Linked DNA regions of Oryzias latipes. Each later gene encodes a partner of the first gene's protein in a complex. Links are inferred from orthologs where the notes say so. Each region holds a gene or a part of one and is shown on either strand. Other genes may lie near its edges.

What was found.
Region 2: the proteins of gdf5 (region 1) and twsg1 are in contact, whole or in part, in a crystal structure (PDB 8BWL), measured with the Homo sapiens proteins. The link is inferred for Oryzias latipes from reciprocal best matches to the Homo sapiens genes GDF5 and TWSG1. Residues at the interface, in NP_000548.2 of Homo sapiens: Glu434, Phe435, Pro436, Ser439, His440, Glu442, Asn445, Val448, Ile449, Leu452, Ser455; in NP_065699.1 of Homo sapiens: Cys26, Lys28, Cys31, Ala32, Ser33, Val35, Ser36, Leu39, Ile40, Cys44, Gln45, Cys46, Arg47, Cys73, Val74.
Region 3: the proteins of gdf5 (region 1) and hemojuvelin are in contact, whole or in part, in a crystal structure (PDB 6Z3L), measured with the Homo sapiens proteins. The link is inferred for Oryzias latipes from reciprocal best matches to the Homo sapiens genes GDF5 and HJV. Residues at the interface, in NP_000548.2 of Homo sapiens: Met412, Trp414, Trp417, Phe478, Asp480, Ser481, Lys488, Tyr490, Met493; in NP_001366281.1 of Homo sapiens: Arg95, Arg98, Gly99, Leu101, His104, Ser105, His108.
Region 4: the proteins of gdf5 (region 1) and bone morphogenetic protein receptor type-1A are in contact, whole or in part, in a crystal structure (PDB 3QB4), measured with the Homo sapiens proteins. The link is inferred for Oryzias latipes from reciprocal best matches to the Homo sapiens genes GDF5 and BMPR1A. Residues at the interface, in NP_000548.2 of Homo sapiens: Arg399, Phe435, Pro436, Leu437, Ser439, His440, Glu442, Pro443, Asn445, Val448, Ile449, Leu452, Ser455, Met456, Pro458; in NP_001393490.1 of Homo sapiens: Gly65, His66, Cys67, Pro68, Ile77, Thr78, Phe83, Ile85, Glu87, Cys100, Met101, Lys102, Glu104, Gly105, Phe108, Gln109, Asp112, Ser113, Lys115, Ala116, Gln117, Arg120, Ile122.
Region 5: the proteins of gdf5 (region 1) and rgmb are in contact, whole or in part, in a crystal structure (PDB 6Z3J), measured with the Homo sapiens proteins. The link is inferred for Oryzias latipes from reciprocal best matches to the Homo sapiens genes GDF5 and RGMB. Residues at the interface, in NP_000548.2 of Homo sapiens: Leu396, Arg399, Phe435, Pro436, Leu437, Arg438, Ser439, Asn445, Val448, Ile449, Leu452, Ser455, Met456; in NP_001353437.1 of Homo sapiens: Gln57, Thr60, Phe63, Val64, Thr67, Ser68, Leu70, Asn71, Tyr88, Leu103, Val104, Ser107, Ala108, Leu110, Gly111, Ile112, Asp114, Leu115, Gln118.

Annotation. Positions count from the first base shown.
Region 1 is NC_019863.2:6,129,121-6,133,470, forward strand, and holds the start of gdf5 (growth/differentiation factor 5), read right to left. Parts: upstream 2,855-4,350; 5' UTR 2,047-2,854; coding exon 1,302-2,046; intron 1-1,301. UniProt on the Homo sapiens protein: Growth factor involved in bone and cartilage formation. During cartilage development regulates differentiation of chondrogenic tissue through two pathways.
Region 2 is NC_019875.2:4,775,598-4,779,879, reverse strand, and holds the start of twsg1 (twisted gastrulation protein homolog 1), read right to left. Parts: upstream 2,933-4,282; 5' UTR 1,975-2,932; intron 1,508-1,974; 5' UTR 1,475-1,507; coding exon 1,349-1,474; intron 1-1,348. UniProt on the Homo sapiens protein: May be involved in dorsoventral axis formation. Seems to antagonize BMP signaling by forming ternary complexes with CHRD and BMPs, thereby preventing BMPs from binding to their receptors.
Region 3 is NC_019874.2:31,654,358-31,658,785, forward strand, and holds the start of hemojuvelin, read right to left. Parts: upstream 2,880-4,428; 5' UTR 2,625-2,879; intron 1-2,624. UniProt on the Homo sapiens protein: Acts as a bone morphogenetic protein (BMP) coreceptor. Through enhancement of BMP signaling regulates hepcidin (HAMP) expression and regulates iron homeostasis.
Region 4 is NC_019873.2:12,328,635-12,332,974, forward strand, and holds the start of bone morphogenetic protein receptor type-1A, read right to left. Parts: upstream 2,829-4,340; 5' UTR 2,618-2,828; intron 1-2,617. UniProt on the Homo sapiens protein: On ligand binding, forms a receptor complex consisting of two type II and two type I transmembrane serine/threonine kinases.
Region 5 is NC_019867.2:13,671,789-13,676,112, reverse strand, and holds the start of rgmb (RGM domain family member B), read right to left. Parts: upstream 2,955-4,324; 5' UTR 2,551-2,954; coding exon 2,424-2,550; intron 1-2,423. UniProt on the Homo sapiens protein: Member of the repulsive guidance molecule (RGM) family that contributes to the patterning of the developing nervous system. Acts as a bone morphogenetic protein (BMP) coreceptor that potentiates BMP signaling. Promotes neuronal adhesion.

The DNA.
Region 1 (4,350 bases):
CGTTCTTCCACAGAAAAAGCAACGAACAGACGGATTAAAAATAAAATGATGAGCGAAGAGGCGCTTCATAATATTCATTATATTAATAAAAGCACGTTTGGAAGATCGTCTAGTATATTACCGAGCATCTGCATAAAATGTATGTGGCAGCAGTTTGTTTACAACGGGACTCATTTCCGCTTACTGTATTTTCAACACTACTGCGCATGCCCAAATGATTTATTCTGACCGAAAGTGTGACCCATGTACACGTTTGTTCTAATCGGAAAAAGGTTTTCTGTGCCCATGTGCACGGTTGAATTGTAATCCGACCATTGATCCGATAAAGATATTTTGCCCATGTAACCGCGGCTACTGTAAATGATGTGTAGAGTTGCATACTCCCACCTAGTGTTGAGGGGTGGGCATTGCACCGTCACGTTCGCTGAAGCAACTTCAATCGATGTAGTTAAGGTGCTGCTGCTTATGTCTGAGTAAAGAAATAGCCAATCACAAAAGTGTCTCCGCCTTGTTTGGTTTGATTGGCAGACAGACTCATTCTGCTGAAAAAGCTCATATAGAAAGAAATAAGTCATTCTGAAAAACAGCAATGCGAAATAAAAACAAAGCTACTTTGGAAAATATTGATATTGAAATCCGAGTTAGTCACAAGTCATGGAATTATAATAATATTAAACATGATTGAAAATGAATATTTTAAAACAGTTTTTAAAATAATGAACAGGTTTTTAAAGTAAAATGATATATATAATAATATAATGGCTAGTTTAAAATCTGTGTGCAGGTTTTTTACAATTTCATGATTTTTTATATATTTATGAGAGATGTATTGGTTGATTGTGTGATTGCACACGCTTTATTGTTTTTGTTTTTTATTATGAACAATTTGGGGTTAACGTTTAACGTATAACGATTATTATAACGATTAACGAAATTAATGTTCAGTGGAGCCCTCCGCTGGAACCCTACTTACAGCTCACTCCACACATAGCAGCCCCCCTTTGTGTTCCTCCTTCAGCTTCCTCTGCTCCCTGCTCTTCAGAGCTCCCTACATCCTCTCACTGATCAGTCAGCACCACCGGTTCAGCCGTTCCAGATCACAAAAGCAGGCAGAATGTATTGGAAAATGCCGAGGATGTGCTTCTGGACTCAGTTCACGCATCGGAATAATATTCTTGGTATAAAAAAAAACACATAATTTTTTTTATCTAGTTAAATGAGTGACAAGAACGTGCATTAGTGGAGGGTTGGGTGTCATTAATGCACTTGTATTCAAAAGTAAACTGCAGGGTGGTGTTTACCTTGACCTCTGTCCACGACACTGGTGATGGTGTTGGCCAGAGCCGCCTCGTGCAGCGCGCTGCTGTTCAGTCCCCCGCTGGATAGAGACCAGTACAGCGACAGCATGTAGTCGTGAGGGGTCACCAGCGGTTGTCTGTGCTGAAGCCTCGGATTCTGGCTGCTGCTGCTGCGCTGCGCCGCCGGAGGCAGCCTCCTCTGCGCGCCGCCGGTTTGGTGAGGGGAAGCCGCGCGTGCAGCAGCAGCAGCCGCGCTTGCCTTTGAAGCAACTCTCTCCATTTTCTTGCCAGCTGAGGCTTTACCCCCAACAGTTGGGGTTTCTTTCACTGCTGCGTAAGCGTTAACAGTTGCGGGAGCATGGACCTTGACGTGCGCGTCCGTTGGGGACACCCAGGAGCGCGAAACCCCTTTGCGCGCTGAGTTGTCCACCTTATCCTGCAGCTTCGGCAGATGTTTGGCGGATGAGTACACGGATGACCGCGAGGAGGACGGTTTGTTTCTATCAACAGAAGTCTCGCCTTTGAGCGGCGGCGGACCAGCGGGGATGCGCGCGGAGGGATTCCACGCACCGGGAACTTTTTTTAGTAACTGACCAACTTCGCGTGCTTCTGTCTGCCGTCTTGCCTCTCCAAGCTGGCGATGCTCGCGCTCCTTTTGCGTGGTCCAGCTGCGTGAAGCAAGGACGGGATGCGGGTAAAGGAGAGTCCAGCAGCTGAACAGAAAAGAAAGATGCCTCACAACTTTCATCCTAAATCCTTTGTGCCTCGAGGCAAACCGTCATCGTAAGTAAAGCTGTGTCACTCTGCAGTGCGCTGACGTTTGTACTTCAGACAGAACTGCGCGCAGTCTATCTCCTCCCGGTGGTCCTCTGCTCTGAGTCTGAGCTGTCAGGAGAGAAATCAACCAAAAGCTTTTTTTCTTTGTAAATCAGAATAAAAAAAACAGAGCGAGGCAGCCAAAGCTTAAACATGAGACGGGGGAGCTTTAAGCGCGCGTTGGGAGGATTCCTGAAGATCTGCAAAGTGCCATCTGTCATGTGGAGCAACCATAATGCTGGCGGGGTCCTGGCCGTGACAGAGGAGATGCTGCGAGCGCGCGGAGCTGTTCTGCTGGAGAGCTCGTAAGAAAGCTCTAATAAACCCGCGGTTTCCCAGAGAAAGCTCGCGCGCCCCTTCCCCTCTCTCTCCGGAGTCTGAACTCCGTCCAGTGAAAACACTGCACTCCCACACTAAGGTGCAGGTGCTGCAAATCCTCCAGCGAACCTGAGCGGCGCAGGAATTCCAGAAAACAGTTTTAATTACTGCATGACGTCATGACGTCTAAACCCATTAAACAGCAGTGTTTCTCCACACATCTTCCTACTTCTTTTTTCCACCTGTGACTCACTGAACTGGTGCAGAATCTGTCCTCTCACTATGAACACACGGAGGAAACTGCTTTGGTCCACATTGTTTTCAGGGTTTTCGGAAACAGTGATGCTGCAGCACACTAAAAACTCAGTGGTTGGATTAAAATAACCAAACTTGGGTTATTTTAACCTAACTTCAGGGTTAAAAAGCACTATTTGATGGGTTATTTTTAACCCACAATTTTGGGTTACTCTAATCAACCCAAGTATTAAATTGTTAGATTAACCAAGTTAAAAGGTCAAATTAACACAACCTAATAATCTTGGGTTAAATTCATAAATGTCTGTTTTTTCTCCCATTTTTCCTTTTAATAAAAGAAAACCTTCTAATATCTTCCAATGCAAATATTTAATCTCTAATTAAATCTCACCTCACCACTCAACATGTGTTTAACCAAAATAAAGAAATCTGTGACACTTTTTCATTTAGACAAACCAAACAGGGATACTATATAAATGCAGAGGCGCACATCTAACCCAATGCTTTCTTGTATCAGCAGGGGTTTTATGTTTAACAGATACACGTTTTAATATTAAAAACTATTAGCCGAAGTCAACATAGCGTGAACATGAACTGTTTTATAACCAGCATTTACTTTTTTATTTATTATACAGTTTTAACCTTTAACACCAGCAACAACTAAACAACACGCGCTCTTTGACACATTATTAATCTTTGCCCGTTTGGACGATCTCCATAAACGTGAATTAGTTAATTCTGGAGTAAAGCAGGTTTTCAGGGTGTGCCTGACCAACACGCTGTTTGTCCAAGGACCGATAGGGTCTCGACTCCGCCAAATCATACAAAGAATGATAAATGAAAGTAAATCATAAGCAAAACAACTGGCAGCATAAAAGTGAAACCAATCATCTATATAAGAAAGCAAAATATAAGAAATACATGAAAAATAATTAATCCACGATATAGTCTTGAGGCCCTGAATATAACTTCTGTTCTTCATAATGGTATACTGTAATCCTGAGAAACACTGTAGGCTTGTATACTAACAGGCTTGAGGTCAATAAAGGATGACCATGCCTCTTCAACCAGGTGGCCTTTTGTTGAGCCTGTAAACTGTCTGTTGTTGCTGGTATCAGTCTGAGAGCCACCACTCTTTTGGCATCTGTTGGGACGCCAATATAAGTGTCAGGATGGTGCAGCAGGTACTAAATTGGTTTGAAATGTTCAAAGATTTTTGTTATCCTCAAAACTCAATTATAATAAAACTTGGGGAAAAACACTACTTCTTTATCAAACCCAGTAGACTAAAATGATCAAAAACTCCAAAAAGTGAGTAGTTTACTGAGCTTAGAAGGATCATGAAGACAATTTAGACAGCTAACTTACCCAGTGGGATGTCATTGATAGAAAAAAAAGATTATTGTCTCATTTTTTTTTTTTTTTATCTCCTCCATGTGGACGAGTTTCTGAATAACTAGTCACCCATGTCCCAAATATGAACAGCCCGACGCAGCGACCGTGGCAAAGTTCAAATAACTGTGGCCGCACTGGGTCGCTCAAATCGAGCTGCTACCTGCACTGCGCCCATCATTTAAATGGCGCCGCAGGACAGAATGAATTGACTTAACATTGACACACGAATCGCATTCGGTGTGAACGCAACTTTAACCCTTGTGCTATC
Region 2 (4,282 bases), on another chromosome or scaffold:
TTCAGACTGCAAATCTGCACATTTCTCTAAGCAAACCCACCTCCGCTGTGCGGACAAGCTGACCACAGAGGTGCCACCAGACAGAAATGTGCTTCAACTGATAAAAAACAAAAGGCTTTAACGAGAAAACGTCTATGACGAGGCTGCCTTACTAAAAAAAACAAAAAACAGATTTAAATATGACAACTGAAAGGTAACTCCTAGACCTCCTGCTTTGGTTTTGTTTGTCTGATTTCAACGTCCTGCATGTCACCAGGTGACGGCGAGTCCCTTCAAGCTGCAGTTTCTGAGCGGCTCTGCTCACTCCAGACATCACAAGACTGTTTCACAACCCCCCCCCCCAAGCCACAGCACAACCGGCTCTGCACAAACACCGCACCACAGATGGTTAATGGATGCTGACATAACACCAGGAAGCTGCAGTTCCTTCGCATCTCTCCATAAAACGGGTTTTGAGCACATTTGCACAACAAACAGGCGAGTCGTAAAGTTAGCCCCCAAGCCTCTTTTTGTAATTACAGACAATTACGGCTAATCATTGGGCTTTATCAGATCTGAAAATTAGAAACGAGGAACATTTTGTTTGTGCACAACAATAAAACCATGCAGGGGGCCTGTTTGGAGGCTTTACCTGTCAGGGATATTTCAGAGCATCATGGGAGGTCTGGCTGCAGCAGCACATCCCATGCATTCACACTTCCAAATACAGATACCGATCTCAGCGGATTTAGTCGTTTGCATTTCTCATCTCGGAACAAAAGGACTGGTTTGCATGCAAAGCAGCAAACTTCCAGCACTTAACAGTAAAACATCCCCGCAGTTAAAGCCAGATGACGGCCTTAAAGTGAAACGAGCGCCCAGGTCCATGACCGGACCTTAAAGATGGTAATGAAGAGGCCATGCAGGCTCACAGACAGGCCAACACCTTCACCGCGCTTCCTGGAGGGACCTGAGCTGGGTGGCACCCTTAACGCAAACAAACCGCAGCTTCCCATGAGGGAGGAAAGAATGACACGGAGGGAGCCGTGCTGGAGAGCCAGGCAGGCAGGCGTCCCAAAGGAAGCCTGTCATAAATCCTAGAACCAGCAGAAGGTCTGACAACAGATCAGCCTGGACAAAATCCACGTCTACGCTGAGGAAAACTTCCAGACGACTCCTGGCTTATCCAAAGAATGCATCTGCATTCTTCCCCAACAGATGCCATCTTTGTTCTGGGCTCCAGATCCGCATCTCGCCCAGGCAGACTCAATCTGGACGTTGGCAGCTGAAGCTCGCGTGTTTACGGCTGTTTGATCAGCCTCGTGTCTGGATGAACGACAGTCTGCTTCATGCAGGAGGAAGAGCTTACCTGGATGAGACATTTGCTGACGTCGCTGGCGCAGAGGGCTTTGTTGCAGCCAGAGGTCAGAGACAGTCCTGACAGGACGAAGAGCAGAGCAGCAGTGGCGGGGAGGATCAGCTGAGCAGGCCTCATCCTGAAGGCTCACCAGCACGGATCTGGAAACACCTACAGCAACACAAAGAGGACACAAAAAGTCTGAGCTTCTGCTTCACTTCAGGAACTTTAAACTCGGAAAGGCGGTTCTGGCATCCATGAGGTGGACTTTCTATAGGAGCTCTTCAAAAGATGTAAATGTATTGTCCTGAAGGAGACAGAAGTCACTCAGAGCCATCAGTGCCACACTCACATCTGGCAACATCAGCTCAGTTGGCCCGTTTCTTAGCGCACGTGCGGCGCCTGAACGCGCTGTGCGCCCTAGCGGCTCCGCTATTACACCCAACATTCTGTTTCTCTTCTCACGAAAGAAGGAAAAAAGCGTGAGGAACATGAGCTCCCTCATTCCCGAGCGCCTTTCTTTACCTCTTTTCTCTCCCCCCTTCGCTTCACTCCAAACTTTCTCTGAAACGCACGCAACTGCGACAGGAGCGCGCGCGGAGGAGCGAGGAGTTAGGAACGTTTTTACTTCGACTCACCTCACGGCGCTGTAGGAAGTCGTGTGCTTCTCTTCTGGGAGAAGGACCGCGTCTGTTTGCTCTTTGAACTTCTCCAGGATGGTTTGGTGCCGCCGCGCAGTGTCCACTGTGTCCAGAGGGCGTCAGTCTGCGCGCAGCACAAAGCGACAGGCAGTCGGGCGCCTTAAAGGCGCAGACTCCATTTTCTGGAGAATGTCTGCGGAGGCAAAAGCCGGGCCTGAGGCCACACCGACACCAGCTGAAGGTACCGGGGGAGACCGAGAGGAGGGGCCCGCCAGGCCGCCTCAAAGGATTCAGAAAGTGTGCGTAAAAGTGCGCAAACCCCCAAACTTTTCCCAGGTCAGACGGGCTCTGCTGCTCTGCGCGAGCCTTCTCCGTCCACCCCCGCCTCATTAGAGAGCCCTTTGTCTCCCCTCCAATCAGCGGGCTTTGAGGGAGCGCTCTTCAGGTGAGAAGTGTCCGGCTCCCCCCGGAGGCGCGACTCCATGAGGGCCTCTGGGGCCCCGAGCTGGAGCCCCACAAGGGCTGACATCTGCGGGTGCACAGCCTCCAGAGGGGCAAGAGACACCGGAGTAGGTCAGATTTTTAAAAAATAATCTTTTCCTGCTGCTCTAAGGGGACAACACGAGCCAAAGGTCAGCGCGCGACGCGTTCTGACCGAGTTTCTTCCGTTTTTACGCCTTTTCTGCTTCAACAGAAACAGAAAGCTGAACTGATGACCTGAGAGGCGCACGTGGAGCGCGTGACAGTGGAGTCACGTGGTTCATCCCTTTATAAAGTCTCGGATCCTCATTTTCTGACCAAATAAAAAAAACTCTCAAACGGACTGTAAAAAACAAAAATCAGTAAGAATGGTGTGTTTCCCAGATTATGATTGAATTTAGACTAAACCTGAAACAAGAGACAATGAAATATGTTCAATTTGAGTGGATTTAATGTTAAACAAGTCGGAATCTTTTTCATTCGTTCATTCATTCTTTGATGTTAAGTTTTGATGAATGATTTGTATTAAATCAGAAAAGTAAGTCAAAGTTTGTGGAATCTTTAACGGAACTATAGCAGAAGTTTCTGCAATTTGTAATTAAGTAAATTTCCACAGAGAGAAACTGACAAAGTACTTCACAAAGTCAAAACAAGATTAAACTAAATGACTATTAAGCCTTTTGTTGTTTATGGTGTTTTATTTAAATTAAAGCCATTTGGTGTTTTATTATCATCTTTTTATTCTGTTATTCTATTCCGATAGTCGAACCTCAGTTTAAGGAACAAGGGTGGGGTTTCCGTCCTGGTCGTGGAACAGTGGACCAGCTCTACACCCTCTTTAGGGTGCTGGAGGGAGTTGGCTCATGCGTTCGACCCCCGTGGTATCCTGTGGGGGGTGCTCTGGGAGTATGGGGTCCAGGGAGCCTCACTGAGGGCTGTCCAGTCTCTGTATGACCGGAGCAAGAGTTTGGTTCACATAGGCTCACATGGCAGCAAGTCAGACTTGTTCCCAGTGCACGTTGGACTCCGGCTGGGCTGCCCTTCATCACCGGTTCTGTTCAGTTTTTGTGGACAGAATTTCTAGGCGCAGCCAGGGGCCGGAGGGGGTCTGGTGTGGGGACCACAGGATTTCCTTTCTGCTCTTTGCAGATATTTTATTCTGTTCCATTCCAAAATAATCGTGATCTCCATTTCCTTTAACATGAACTGAGTTTGTTTATTCTTGAATGACTGAAAAAAAAAAAAAAAGATTTCCCACAATGCACTGGGGATTCCATCTCACTGCACACCAACCCTCACCATGGTAATTACACCCTCCCAAATGTTCCCCGTTGGCTGCCAGAACGTTAGGAGCTTTTCCTCTTCAAGTTTCACCTTCAAAGTTTCTCCTAAACAAACTCCTGCAGTCCATTTCTAACTTCCTGCAGCGCCCTCTGGTGGCCGATTACAATTCTGCACCGCGCAAAAGGACCAGAAGGCAACACAGACATGAATTTCACAACAAATAAAATTTATTCAATTATATATTACAAATATATACAAGTAATGTAACAAGTAAATATTAAAATAGACATTTTTTAGAACTATCGTTCAAAAGGCATTATGTTGAAAAAATAGGATTTGTTGTGATTTCACATTTAAACTGTAAAAGTATTTGTCTTTTTTTTCCTCAGAAGCCACAACAGACTTGAATGTGTGCAAGACACGATGGACAACACAGGAGGCCGCAGAAGAGACAGAACACCATGTCTGAAAGGAAAACAAAAGGAGGAACTCAAAGAGAAAAGCTGGAACACTTTAGTAAACTTCACAAATAAGTAACCAC
Region 3 (4,428 bases), on another chromosome or scaffold:
GCATGGAGCCGTTCAAGAGAACATCAGACACACAGAGCACAGCTGAGCTCTGGTAGGTGGGTGGAGCTTTGTTTGTGTTGAATTGTGAGGTCCACTAAGGCTTTTTTTATGGTTGGATGGGGTTGGAATCAGGGGTTGTGATCAAGACCTGAAACATCTCTTCATAATTATGACCCCATGAGTAAGTAAACGCGAGAAAGTGTGTTTACATGTGTTCTTATTTTGAACAAATACTGTTACTTTGAATATCGGTGAACATAAACAAAGTCTTTGATTATGTTTTTTAAAAATAAATAGGACTTCAAATAATTCACCCACATGTAAAGGAAATAGTTTTACTCGTTTTGTAACCTTGCAGGGACCTTTATTACTTTACCGACCATTGTAGTAGGACCATTGATCTCAATGGGGACAAAGGTTTAGTTCAAAAAGAAAATATAATTTTCGTTAGCTAAAGTTAGTAAAACGTCCAAACTTAAAAAATCTTTACTTTTTGTTATAAGTAAAAACCAGATGATTTAAAAATAATTTTCCATAAATTTGTGCTTAAATGTTTGCGCTCAGTGGCTCAGGAGGTTGAGCAGGTCGTCCAATGATCGAAGGGTCGCTGGTTCGATCCCCGCTCCCCCTGGTCAAGTGTTGTTGTGTCCTTGGGCAAGACACTTCACCCTCCTTGCCTCTAGTGTGGCTCCACTGGTGTGTGAATGTGTATGAATGTCCTGGTGATGGTCAGAGGGACCATAAGCGTGAACTGGCAGCCATGCCTCTACCATCACCAAGTATACATGAGGAGTGAATGAATAATGGACACATTGTAAGCGCTTTGAGCGACTGGAAAAGCGCAGATAAATCTAATCCATTATTATTATTATTACTCTGACAACAAGTGCTACAATAATTATGGTTTTAAGTTTAACAACTTATTATGTAATCTTGATTCATATCTCTTTTATTTGACTGACACTCTCTTTTCCAGTCTTACCTAATTTGATCCCAATTTGTCATGTTTTGGTTTTTCAGATTCATAAATTCACTAATCTAGTAGCAACGTTGTATATCAGTGGGGCGGCCTGTGAACTTTAACCAGTTCACACTTTTAAAATGTGCTTCAACCTCCAGATAGGCATTTATTTAAGTATTTGTGTATTCTTTAATAAAGTCAGTGGTCTGTGAAACATGGTTTGGCAGACAAACCTGGGTGTGTTGAGGGCGTGGAGGCTAAATTTAAACTGCACTTGCCCTCGGAGCTTCATCACACACAGCTATAAATAAACGCATCGTTTCACGGATATTTGTGTCTAAATATACTGAAAGAATGTCTGGGATTTTGTTCTATACATAACGATGATTGAAACTGCAAGCGAAGGTGGGAATAATGCTAAATGTATTCTTTTTTATTTTTATTTAAAGATATAACAAATCAACGTGCATGCGTGGGTTTTCTTTGGGGTCTCCAGCTTCCTCCCATCGTCCAAAAACAGGCTTCATAGGTCAATTGGAAACTCTAAATTGTCCAGTGTGAGTGTAAGTGTAAATGGATGTGTGATATGTGACCCTGTGACAGACTGGCGACCTGTTCAGGGTGCCCCCTGCCGTCGCCCATAAGGATAGGCTCCAGCAGCCCTTTGACCCCGAAAGGAACAAAACGGAAGAAGATGAATGAATAACAAACCAAAGTTACATGTTAGTTGTTAACTTTCTTGTTGATGCATTAAAAAAAACTGATGCATATGTTGATGCATCTAGATTTTTATAAAGTTGCACAAGACTTTGTGCTTGAAGCTTAATTGAGTTATTGATGTGGATAAATACATGAGAATATATATAGGAATCTCTAAAACCTATGTACCCCGTGCACGCTCCGTGCATGAGGCATTTCTCTGCAGTCAGTAAGGAGGCGATAGTCACACCTTGCTAAGGAATAGAGCGTGGCATAAGGACGCCATATGACAGCGTCACCCGTACATTATAAGTGTGAGTAACTTTCCATTGTCCTTTACCATAATACACTTACCACACGCACGACAATGGTACGTCCCATTTTTTTGACGTCTCTTAAGGTGGTTGTATGAGTCTTAAAGAACCTGCAGACACACCTGAGCTCTCCTTGAGATGCAGCCGCTCCTCTCTATGACTCTCCATGGACCCGGACAACCACAACCCACAGAACCAGAGTGGGTCAGCCCCCCACCCCACATGGCTCCATGTGACTGAAGCTTTAAGCTTTCACTAATCAATAATAAAACAATAAGTTAAGTAATCGGTCCAGGTTTAAAAGAGAAAGATAAAAAGTAGATTTTAAGGGTCAACCTAAACTGATTATTGATAAGAGATCTGTTCAGGACAGAAAAAGAACTTTCTATCATAGAAAAAAAAGCTGCTTCTGTTCAGGTTCCTCCTTCAAGACCGACCCAGATGATAAGAGTTTAGAAACCAAAAGTTTAATGAGTTAATAATGAGACTCCAATCACCCTGTCAGCTATTGTCAGGAAGCTGAGCTGGAGGTTAGAGGTCACCAAACATGATCTGCATGTGATAGATGTTTGAGCTGAAGAACAAGAAAATTAAAAGCTTAATTTTCTGCTGTCTGACTCTGCAGCCTTCTTCTGTCAAGTCAGTCTTACCTCGGCTGATTTGTGATCAGAGGTCATCAGTGTGGTTTGGGAAAATCCCCCCGAGGCTCCAGAACCTGCCGGAAACTCCACGTTTCTGCCTGAAGTTTCTTGTGGTCTGTCCAGGACTCTGCAGGCTCCGGTCTGGTTCCTGTTCACAGCTGTCGGGGAGCTTCAGGCTCTTCTAAATAAATCCCAGAGAACTACCTGCTGCACAACAACTGTCCACTTACACACACAACACACACACACGCGTACACACGTGGTTATTTTTATTTCAGACGCAGAAATCTATTTATGACCTGGAACTTTGGTTCCACTTTGATTTATTACTTTCCTGAAGGCGATGCAAACAATTTAAAGCAAAATAGATTTAATTCATAAAATCATGATCATCATTTGTATTTTGTATTTGTATTTATTTATTTAAGGGACAATGCATACAACAAACATTGTAGAATACTCTAAAGGTAAAGACACACTGTAAATATGCAGGATTGTAGCCTAGGCTAATTTCCATCCTCTGTCCCATTCTGACCATGGCCAGCCACCTAGAGACTTAAAATAAAATGAGTAAAACAGAGTAAAAATGTACATATATAGCGTTAAATTGCATTAAAAAAATGACATAAAATTAACATAACTCGTATAACATTTAAAACAGTTTCAAATGCATAGTTCCCCAAAATATACATCAATAAAATCGCCAAAATCAGAAGCATCATTTTCAATTTGTATGTGTGTGTGATCACAAGCCCCCCCCCCCCCCCCCCCCCCCCCAACAACCACTAGCCCAGACTGTGGGGCAATTTCACCGACATCTGCTGGAGAGCATCAACTATGTCAGAGGAGCTACTTGGGGGGGTCCCCCCACACCATGCTGCAGGGGGCATGCCACCCCCATGGCCATATGACAAAAAGCATCAAGTCCCCCACCCCCGACCTTGCTGGGATGTCCCTAAATAGTCTAACCGGACTTTGTGACCAGAGCAGACGCTGATAATATGCAGAAAAATTGTCTGACTTGTGGGGTAGGAACCATTGGAAGTCATGTGGTTTAAGGGGACAGACAGCAGGGGGCGCCATAAACTCTCTTTCTGGCTTCTTCAACTAGTTTCAGACTCTCCAGAAGAGAAACTTCTGATTGTTCTAGCATCACCTGCTTCAAACAGAAAGCCTGATGCTTGAGAAGCTTTCCTCAGCTTATATCTGCATGTGTGTGTGTGTGTGTACATGTATGTGTGTGTGCATGTGTGTGTACATGACTGTATGTGTGCATGTGTGTGTGTGTGTACATGTGTGTGTGTACATGTATGTGTGTGTGTGTGTGTACATATGTGTGTGCATGTGTGTGTGTGCATGGGTGTGTGTACGTGTGTGTGTGTGTGCATTTTTGTGTACATGTGTATGTGTGGATGTGTGTGTAACTGTATGTGTGTGTGCATGTATGTGTGTACATGTATGTATGTGTGTACATGTATGAGTGTGTGCATGTGTGTGTGCATGTGTGTGTGTGTGTGTGTATGTGTGTGTGTGTAAATGTGTGTGTGTGGGTGCAAATACATGTGTGTACAGATGAGCAGTTGCCCTTCCAGCCTGCAGCAGGGCCCCTCTCCGCCTCACTGAGCAGCCCTCAGAGCCTTTGTTAGTGTTTGGGGAGGGAGGGGGCAAAGTGAGGCGGGAGGGGTGGTACTGACCCAGACCCGGTGCTGGAGGACCATGCAGCAGAACGAACAGAATCTGCAGAGGTGAGTCTTCTTTCTTTCTCTGGGTTTATCACAGAACAAGTAAAAATGAAAATGAGCATCGACCTCCA
Region 4 (4,340 bases), on another chromosome or scaffold:
TTCAACTCAGAATCTCAGATTGATGTGTTAACGTAACTAGGGTATGTCAACACATACACTCAGCGATTTATCTGCAAAAAAAAAGTTGGCTCTTGTTTTAAAAAAACAAAAATGTTTGAATCAGCACCATTCATTCAACAAACAGTTAAGACCTGCAGTTTCAGTGAAACGGCTATAATCCAACATCACACATGAAGGACTCAATGGCAAAAATAAAAAAAGACTTGTACTTAACAACAATTCCAAGATTCTGACAGAAACACACTAATCTTAGCAAAAAACATAGATACAGGCATGACATCTGCCTATGATGCTGAACAAACGTAGACCCAAAAACTACAAAAAAGCTGGACCAAGCTCAACCCCCTGTAAGACACCACAACAAAATAATCATATTCTATCTGACTACGGAAAAAGTGGCCAACGACAATAGAGAGTAAAAACAAAACAAAAAAAACCTGCCAGATTTATAAAACACCCACTGCTCTTTTGGGAAGTAGTGTGTCTCTGTCATGATGTCACTAATCTATCTTTTACAATCACATTTAAAGGATTCTGTCTCTTAAAAGCTTTAAAATGTGATTAAAACAGCCATTTTCAATTTGTTTTACACAACCATATTAAAGTGTCTTCTTCAAGTAATAATTAGTCAAGTAAGAATTGTTATTTATTTGTATTATCACTTTATAGATTATAATCATAGAATGTTCTGAAGACCCACTCTGATAAAAATAATGTTTTTGGTGTTTTTAACATGTTCTTGTGGCATTTTTCTCATGACGGAGGACATAAATAGATCCAAGTACTTAATTTCCCTGGTCTGAGCTCGTATGTGGCTCAAAACTGAACATCTGGATGATTCCAATATTGCTCCTCATTTTTGTTGCACAAGTTTAAGGGAGATTGTGTAAACAGATGAATGACGGGAAGCACAGACAAGCTTACTAGTCTGCACCAAAAGCCGATGAAGTACTGCCGCTCAGCAGAAACTATGTCCTAAAAAACAACAAAGGTTGTTTTTTGATTGGCTTAAAACGGCATATTTATAATTAAAAGACCACTAGGAACACTTTTACAATAGAGTCAATGATGATTGGACTTTTAAAAAAAACTGAACTGAAGGAGCATACGTCAAGCTTTTAGGACAGAAACTGCTCTGATCTAAGAACCAACTAGTTTCAGTTAAAAAAGAAAGCTAATCGTGGTTCAGTTGGGTTAGGATTTTACTCCAACACAAAACTAATTGCTCAAAACTGCACATTATTTCACTGATTAGGCAATCAGTTTGATAGGATGAAATAATCAAACATATTAAAGACCATCACATAAAATAAAGATGACTTTAAATGGAAAATAAACAGGTCTGAACCAAGAACAGCCCCTGAGGACAAGAGGGAGCCGTTCTGTCTGAAACCCTAAACCACAGAAATCAATCAACTTAAAATCAATTTTAAAAGGTATAGGCCAGATTTGTCTGGAGATTAAAAAAACCTGAACAATCCAGGTATTAAGAAGGCAACAAACATAACGACCAAAACATGTTGACAATAAGAAAAAAAAAAAAAGTTTTACTTCAACAATACTGGTCCCAAGTATGGCAAAAAAGAAAGCCCCGAGTGGAATACATTCGAGGTTTTTCCAAAAATGTCAACAAACTCAACGAAGGCTTAACCAGGAAAGTTTGCGAATTTTCGCTAAACTGAATGTGGGGTTTTGGAGTTTGGAGAAACATTGCACTAACACCAAAACATAATTAAAAAAAAAAAAAACAATCAGAGTTTGTGTTCCGGGGCTGATGCTGGAGGCTAAATATGTTTGGCAGTCTCCGACACAAACACACAACAAGCTACAAAACGAGCGCGCCACAGGTGGCTCCGGGTAGCGCGTGCACGAGAAGCAATAATTTCAGGTAAACAGAGAAAACCAGCAGAAACTAGACCTTCTCTCTGCGTGTTATAGCCCCACATGCTAACGAGAAACTTAGCTCAACTTTCTCTAACTTTCACACATAGTTGACTACAGACAAACGAACTCACGGACAAACGGGCAAAATTGATCAAAATTATCGGTAACACGTTTTTTCTAACCGTAAAAACTGTTTTATTACAAATAAGTGATATTTGCGGAGTTAGCTAACCGAGGAATGCGGCTAACAAGCGACATCTCGGTGAACAAACTGCGGCAAAGATGATCCAGATAAACTCTCCCGCAGATTTTATTCACTTATCTGGGATCAACAATGCCTGCTTACATACTGATGGGCTTCATCATAGCCTCTTTTCTGCAAAACATTTAATAATCTCGCCGAAGCTCAACAACTGGGAACTTTTTCGACAGCGTTGCCAACAGGATACGACTATTTCCTGGCGCCAAACCACTCACGAAATCTGTTCATTTTATTTGAATTTTTTTTTTCAGTATCACAAACAACTGACAATATATCCCAATGCCGAACTTATAATCTAATAACTACTTCATAAAATAATGTATAAATACCAAGTTTACATTTATTTTCTTCCAGGCTCTATTCGCTATGTGATTCAGCACATAGACGGAGCTGAAAAGTCCAACTACAGGGAGTGAAGTTCGGGGTTTTGTTGGATCTTATCCGCCTTACCTTATCCTCCTGGGTGCCTTATTTACTCCTTGGGACGCATCTCGTTTTCCAGCACAAATCTGTTGTTTAAATCCTAACTCTGAATAGTATTCCGGGATACAGATACGTATTTTCCAGCGGTTTTGCCGTTCTCTCCATGCGCCTCAGTACTCGCTCCTTCTGCGGTTTTCTCTGTTTGACGGCGAGGACAGTGAATCCCAAACCTGTTCGAAGATCGTCTGTGAGCAACGAGACTACTCACTCTAACGTCAAATGAGACAGTCAAACTTCCGGATGAGCCTTTCCAGTTACCTGACTTTTTAATTAGTAAATAATTTAATACAGATTTACATCTGAATAAATCTCTATTATTGATGTTTTTTATCATAAATCTATACTGCCAACATACAGTAAGCGTTTCTTTTTGTGCGCCACATTTATATTCAATTCTATAGTTTACGTTGTTTCATTGCGTTTCCCATGGATGCAGTTCATGTGACTTTTTTGTCTATTAGAAATTTGAGGATAATAACTATTTATAACATCCTGTATTTAAATTACCACACGCTAAAATCATGTTTGAATGTATCTATTCTTTGTGCCTTCTTCTTTTAAAAACTGAAAAAGGTAATAAAGTCTCCGTCTAACCTCCCGGTTGAGTTGATATTACTGTCAGAGTGAGAACTCTTGCCTAATTTCTTTCATCTGTTTTTGCAATCACTACTCTGTCCTGGCTTTTACTTTGAAATTCTGACTTAAGCTTAGTCTGCCTCCATCTAGTGGCTAGTAGCGAAACAACAGGTCTGCAAAAAAAAGAAAAAAATTAAAGGGAAGAGTAAATACTTTTTGAAAAGAGTTTGGTCACAGATAAGAACATAGACGCTGGATTGGTATTATATATATATATATATATATATATATATATATATATATATATATATATATATATATATATATATATATATATATATATATATATATATATATATATTTTTTTTTAAACATTTTAAATGTTCAAAATATTGATGCTCGAAAAAGCAACATTATTTTATGGAATTTAGTAAATGTAAAATTTGAAGTGAATTAGTTTATAAAGCTGCTAAAAACCCAAGTGTTTTTCTTGATTTCAAGCTGTGAAATAATGAAGAACAGGACAAATGCAGATGTTTTTTATGATGTAAGTGCTCGCTTTATTCAGACTGCAATGCTGTAATTCTCCTTGTAAACCTGTCAAACAGTAAAGCAGCATTTCAGAGTGATAGCAGGTTCATCCCAGCCTTCCTGCTGCTCATCACAGTTTCTAACCATTCTTTACAGTAATATTCTGCGTATGTGTCTGGAGGGCGGGGTCAGAGCTTTTTTTTTTTACATCCCAACATGCTGCAACAAACTGCTCTGCATGCACATTCACACTGTCTGACATAAACTGTATAAAAGGAGACAGGGTAAAAACTGGTCTGAACAGAGCAGAAATCGTGACACGCAGAGTTTAGACTGACATCCGGCATTATAAAAACTCCCACAGATGAAACCCTTTCAGTTGATCTGAAGGTAGGTCACACTAAAGCTCAGGATGCTCCAAAGGCGATGCTCTAAACAGCATTTTGTTGCAATTCCCCTTATAGTCACTAGATGCTGCTAAATCTCTTATTTGACCACAGTTCTTGAAACCAGCAGCTTGGAGACTGAATTGAAAATGTCAACATTTCCTGGGCTTTGACGATTTGTCAGTTTGTCTGTCTTT
Region 5 (4,324 bases), on another chromosome or scaffold:
TGTGATCAATGGCTTCATCAGAGGAAACACATGATAAAAATATTTCCTGTAGCCCATTCAAATGGAATTTCTTGCTCTATGATTGTATGTGATCTTGTGTCTGTTTCCACATTTCTGAACAGTACGAGGGTCAAATGAGCCTTTTGTATCATCAGGGGGAAAGAGGGAGTCAGAGCCGTAGAAAGATTAGAGACCAGACCTAATGCATCAGTCACAGCATGCCCCTATTAGATTAAGCCAGACAGAGGGAAGCTCTGCAGTGCGCAAGAAGCTCCACGCACACACACACACACACAATGACAAACATGCGCCACGGATGCACTTCCATTAAACGCATCATCTTCAGATGGTGGTACGACTTCCTAATTGGAGCATAAGCACAGGCAAAATCAACAAAATCTCTCTGTATCACACCAACCATGAAGTTGCACAGAAGTGTTTGACTTCTTGGCTAGTGGGAGCGCCACCATTTGGGGGCAGTGCTGCTCTGAGTTTAAAAATCCGGGTGCAGGTAGAGACCCCCTCACTCACACCAGGGCTTAGAATCTCTATCCTGACTGTTAAATACTGACACCAACCAACAGATAGACAACCAACCATTGCCTGAGCACTGAGGACACATTTTGTCTTCGGACTGGAATACCAGCGATTTCTCTCGTTTCTCCATCCGTCCTGCAGTCTCTGAATACTTCTCACAGAAAACCCATAATGTCTCTATCTTGAAACTGCCATAGACACACACGCACACACACACACACACTTCTACACTTTAGCATATTGCTGTGATATAACAAGAGAAAGGTGATCCTTTAACTTGGGCTAGGACCTCTGGATGAAGGAGAGATCTCTGCTGACAACACAAATCTACTGAAGTATACACCTGCTCCCATTGTGGAGCTGCATGGCTGACCCTGCATTCCAGCCTTCCTGTGAGAGTATCAAGTAAAACCACAACTGTCTGAGTTTAGTTGGGCTGCAACTTTAGGGTTTTTTGGAGGCGCATTCAAGAAAAGAAAAATAATTTGTGCATTTTTTAATGAATAAATTGTTGTTTCTGAGCAAATCAGTTAAGAAAAAACATTTTTGTGGTGACTCGTGTCCGGAGCTGCAATAGATCGTCCTACAGTAAGTCACCAGTGAAGGCAGGATGGGAGTCAGCTCCGTATTACATCAACTTTCCTTTCAAACTCAACCCTCTTCTCACATCTGGATCATCTCTTCTATTGTGAGATTTTGCTTTAGAGCTTCCCCTCACCACACACACAAACCCTATTGTCAGCCTCCAGGCCTCTCCGTCTGCCTTTGAGCCTTCTCGCCCCCACCTGCATCCCGAGGCAACCTTCTCCAACATCAGACAGAGGTCAAAACATCCACGAGCCCAATCTCCTCGGCTTGGTTGTTAGGGCTTCTTTGTCTCCCAATCTGGCTGCCTCCAAGTTCTCTGATCTCCTCAGATCAGAAAAAGATCTACTGGGATCATCTCTCAGCCAGGGGAATGGTTTGTGAAGTGCTTATTGATCACCTTGCTGTATGCGCTCTCACATTTTGAGCTCAAATCACACAAACAGCCATCTAAGCTTAGAGACAGGAGCTCCCCTTCGAACAATAGCCTGTAAATCAGACACTCCTGCCTTCCCTCCAAACCAGCATGGAGCTGACAGATGATAGCATTTGTTAAAACTTCTTGCAAAAAAAACAGCAACAATATTTTGTGTTTATGCAAGCAAAATAAACACATTCTTTCCACATGTGGGCTCCAATTGTGACCTGGGTGCATTTGTAAAGCCTAAAGCCAGGCTGTGGTGCAGAGGTGGGTGTATTTATCCTAGAGCTCAGGGTTGTGTTAAACTAATTACAGGAGGTGTGAATGCCCACAAGACAGCTGACCCCCTAAATGCTCACAAACAGCCCAAAAACTGATCTCTTCTGGATTACACAACACAAAACGACCAGCCAGAACAACACACAACACCTCTGCATGTGCAGGGAGAGGTCACTTTTTATTCTACAGTCATCAATTCTTAAATGATGAGCATCACCAAAGGACAAAGAGACTTTACAACTCCTTTTATATTAAACTATATTAATACTTTCCTGTGTGCATTTTAGCCTATTATTTCAGTTCAGTTCACTTTGGTTTAAATAACAGGCAACTTTTGCTTGCATGGAACAGATCTGTTATGACAAGAGGAGAGGCAGTCGCCCTCTTCCCCTCCTCCACGAGCCATTAAGGGGGCAGACAGGAGAATGACGGCCCAGGAGAGAGGAGGAGAAACTCGATCCGGGCTGAGAATGCTGCACTGCCGCTCTGGAGGGAGGCTTTGTGAGGCCAGGAACCAACGCTTCAAGAATTGACAAAAACTCAGGGAAAGTGGAGGTTTTAGTGACACATGATCTGGAGGAGTAATGAAAACGTTCCTCACCCATGTAAGTTCCGTAGGACAGAACCAGCAGCAGCAGCAGCAGCAGCAGCGATGGCCGGAAACGGCGCACCATAGACGGGGAAGCCAGGCGCTCAGCCCCGCGGCAACGGCATCCGGCTCTCCCCATCCCCGTCCATGCAGGGCCAGGAGGGGAGAGTGGACCGACCTCCACGGAGCGCAGAGGGGAGGCGTTCAAGCCCGATCACCTCTTCTTCTTCTTCTTCTGTCTCTTCACCCTCACTTGTCTCTCCGTCCTCCCCTCCACGGGTGCGCATGAAAACACCGCGGAATGCGGGGCGGAGAGCAGCTAAAAGTCCCGGCAGAAGAAGTCCCACTTTTCCAGCTTTTCTTCGCGAAAGGATCCGCTCCCCACGTGACTTTCTCGGTGCGCTCTCTCCCCAGCTTCGGCAGTCGGACTTTTTTTCTTCTTCTTTTTGCTGTGATTGCAATCACGCTCCTCTCCCGTCCCGCACGCACGGCCGCATCCCTCCCTCAGCACAATTTCTCCTCCACTCCTCCCCTTTCGCTTTCTCCTCCGCCTCCTCCTCTTCCTCCTCCTCCTCCTCTGCAACAAATCAATAGCTCACAGAATCAACCAAACCCTGCAGGCGGAAAACCCGCCCACCGTGACCCACAATAATGAGACACTGAGATAAAAGTTGTAGATCAACCAGATGAGAAAATTATTGAGCTCCTCAAAGCATGATGCGTTTCCGATATGTTTCTTCCTTTTTTTTTCCAGGAAGGATTCCGGTTTATTTTTCCAGATATTATTTGCCTGATCTGATAGGGTTTATCTTTAGATGATTAAATCGAGTTAAGAATAACGGACAGTGGATGAAAGGAAAAGTTAGGTTAATGTGTCACCAAAATCCCACGGATTCCTCAAGAACAAAGTTTTCAGCTTTTTCAGATACTGCTACTGCTACACAACACCCAAAAGAAGTCTATTTAAGTGTACTACAAGTAAAAGTGAGGCAGTATACTTAAAGTTTATTTCTTATGTAATAGCGATTTACTTTTTATGTACGATCTATATTTTGTAAACACACAATGTTCCAATCTAGTCTGAAGAAATATTCAGATTTATTAGTATTCAGAAGTATTTAAGTACATGTAGGGGCAGGCAGGGACTCTGTCCAACAGAATGCTGTAATAACCCCCCCCCCCCCCCCCCCCCCCAACCACGATTAAAAAAAATCCACAATTAATTACTGATTTTTTTAAAAGGGCGTGTCCCAAGCCCTCCAAATGCAGAGGTGTCAGGAAAAGCCTTCAACATATAATGTATAAGATCAAAGGACAAGATAGATATTCGGAACTGATGCTATGATAGCATATTAGGGCCTTGGAGGAATATGACACTCCAAACTCTCGTGACTATCATACTTGCTATACTTATACTCAAGTATATTTAACAAAAATACTTTAACTGCGGTACTTTTTGCTTAGGGTAACGGTTTGATCGATGCATGTAAAGAAATTGAGGTACACCATTAAAAATTCCCAATTCCTAGAGGAAATGGATCATTTCTTATAAATGTGGTTTCAGAGGGTAGGTAAATCTATCTGAAGGTGGTTGCAATTAATCATCCAAATTTTGATACATCTATATAAAGATATTTGTTATGTTTGTCTTCTTCAGCATTGTTTGCTTTGATTGCTTGAAATAAACCAATTCCAATTCCAATCATGGACCATCCCTTGGCAAAAAGAAGTCTAATTAAGTTTATTGCACTTAGTCAATCCAAAAAGTGAGGCAGTTTAGTTTTTTATATACTATCTATAAACTTACAATGTTCCAATTTAGTCTGAGGAAATTCTCAGTTAGTATACTCCTACACTATGATAAAAAGCTGTTATACTTTCTATACTTATACTCAAGTTTGCTTAACCAACTG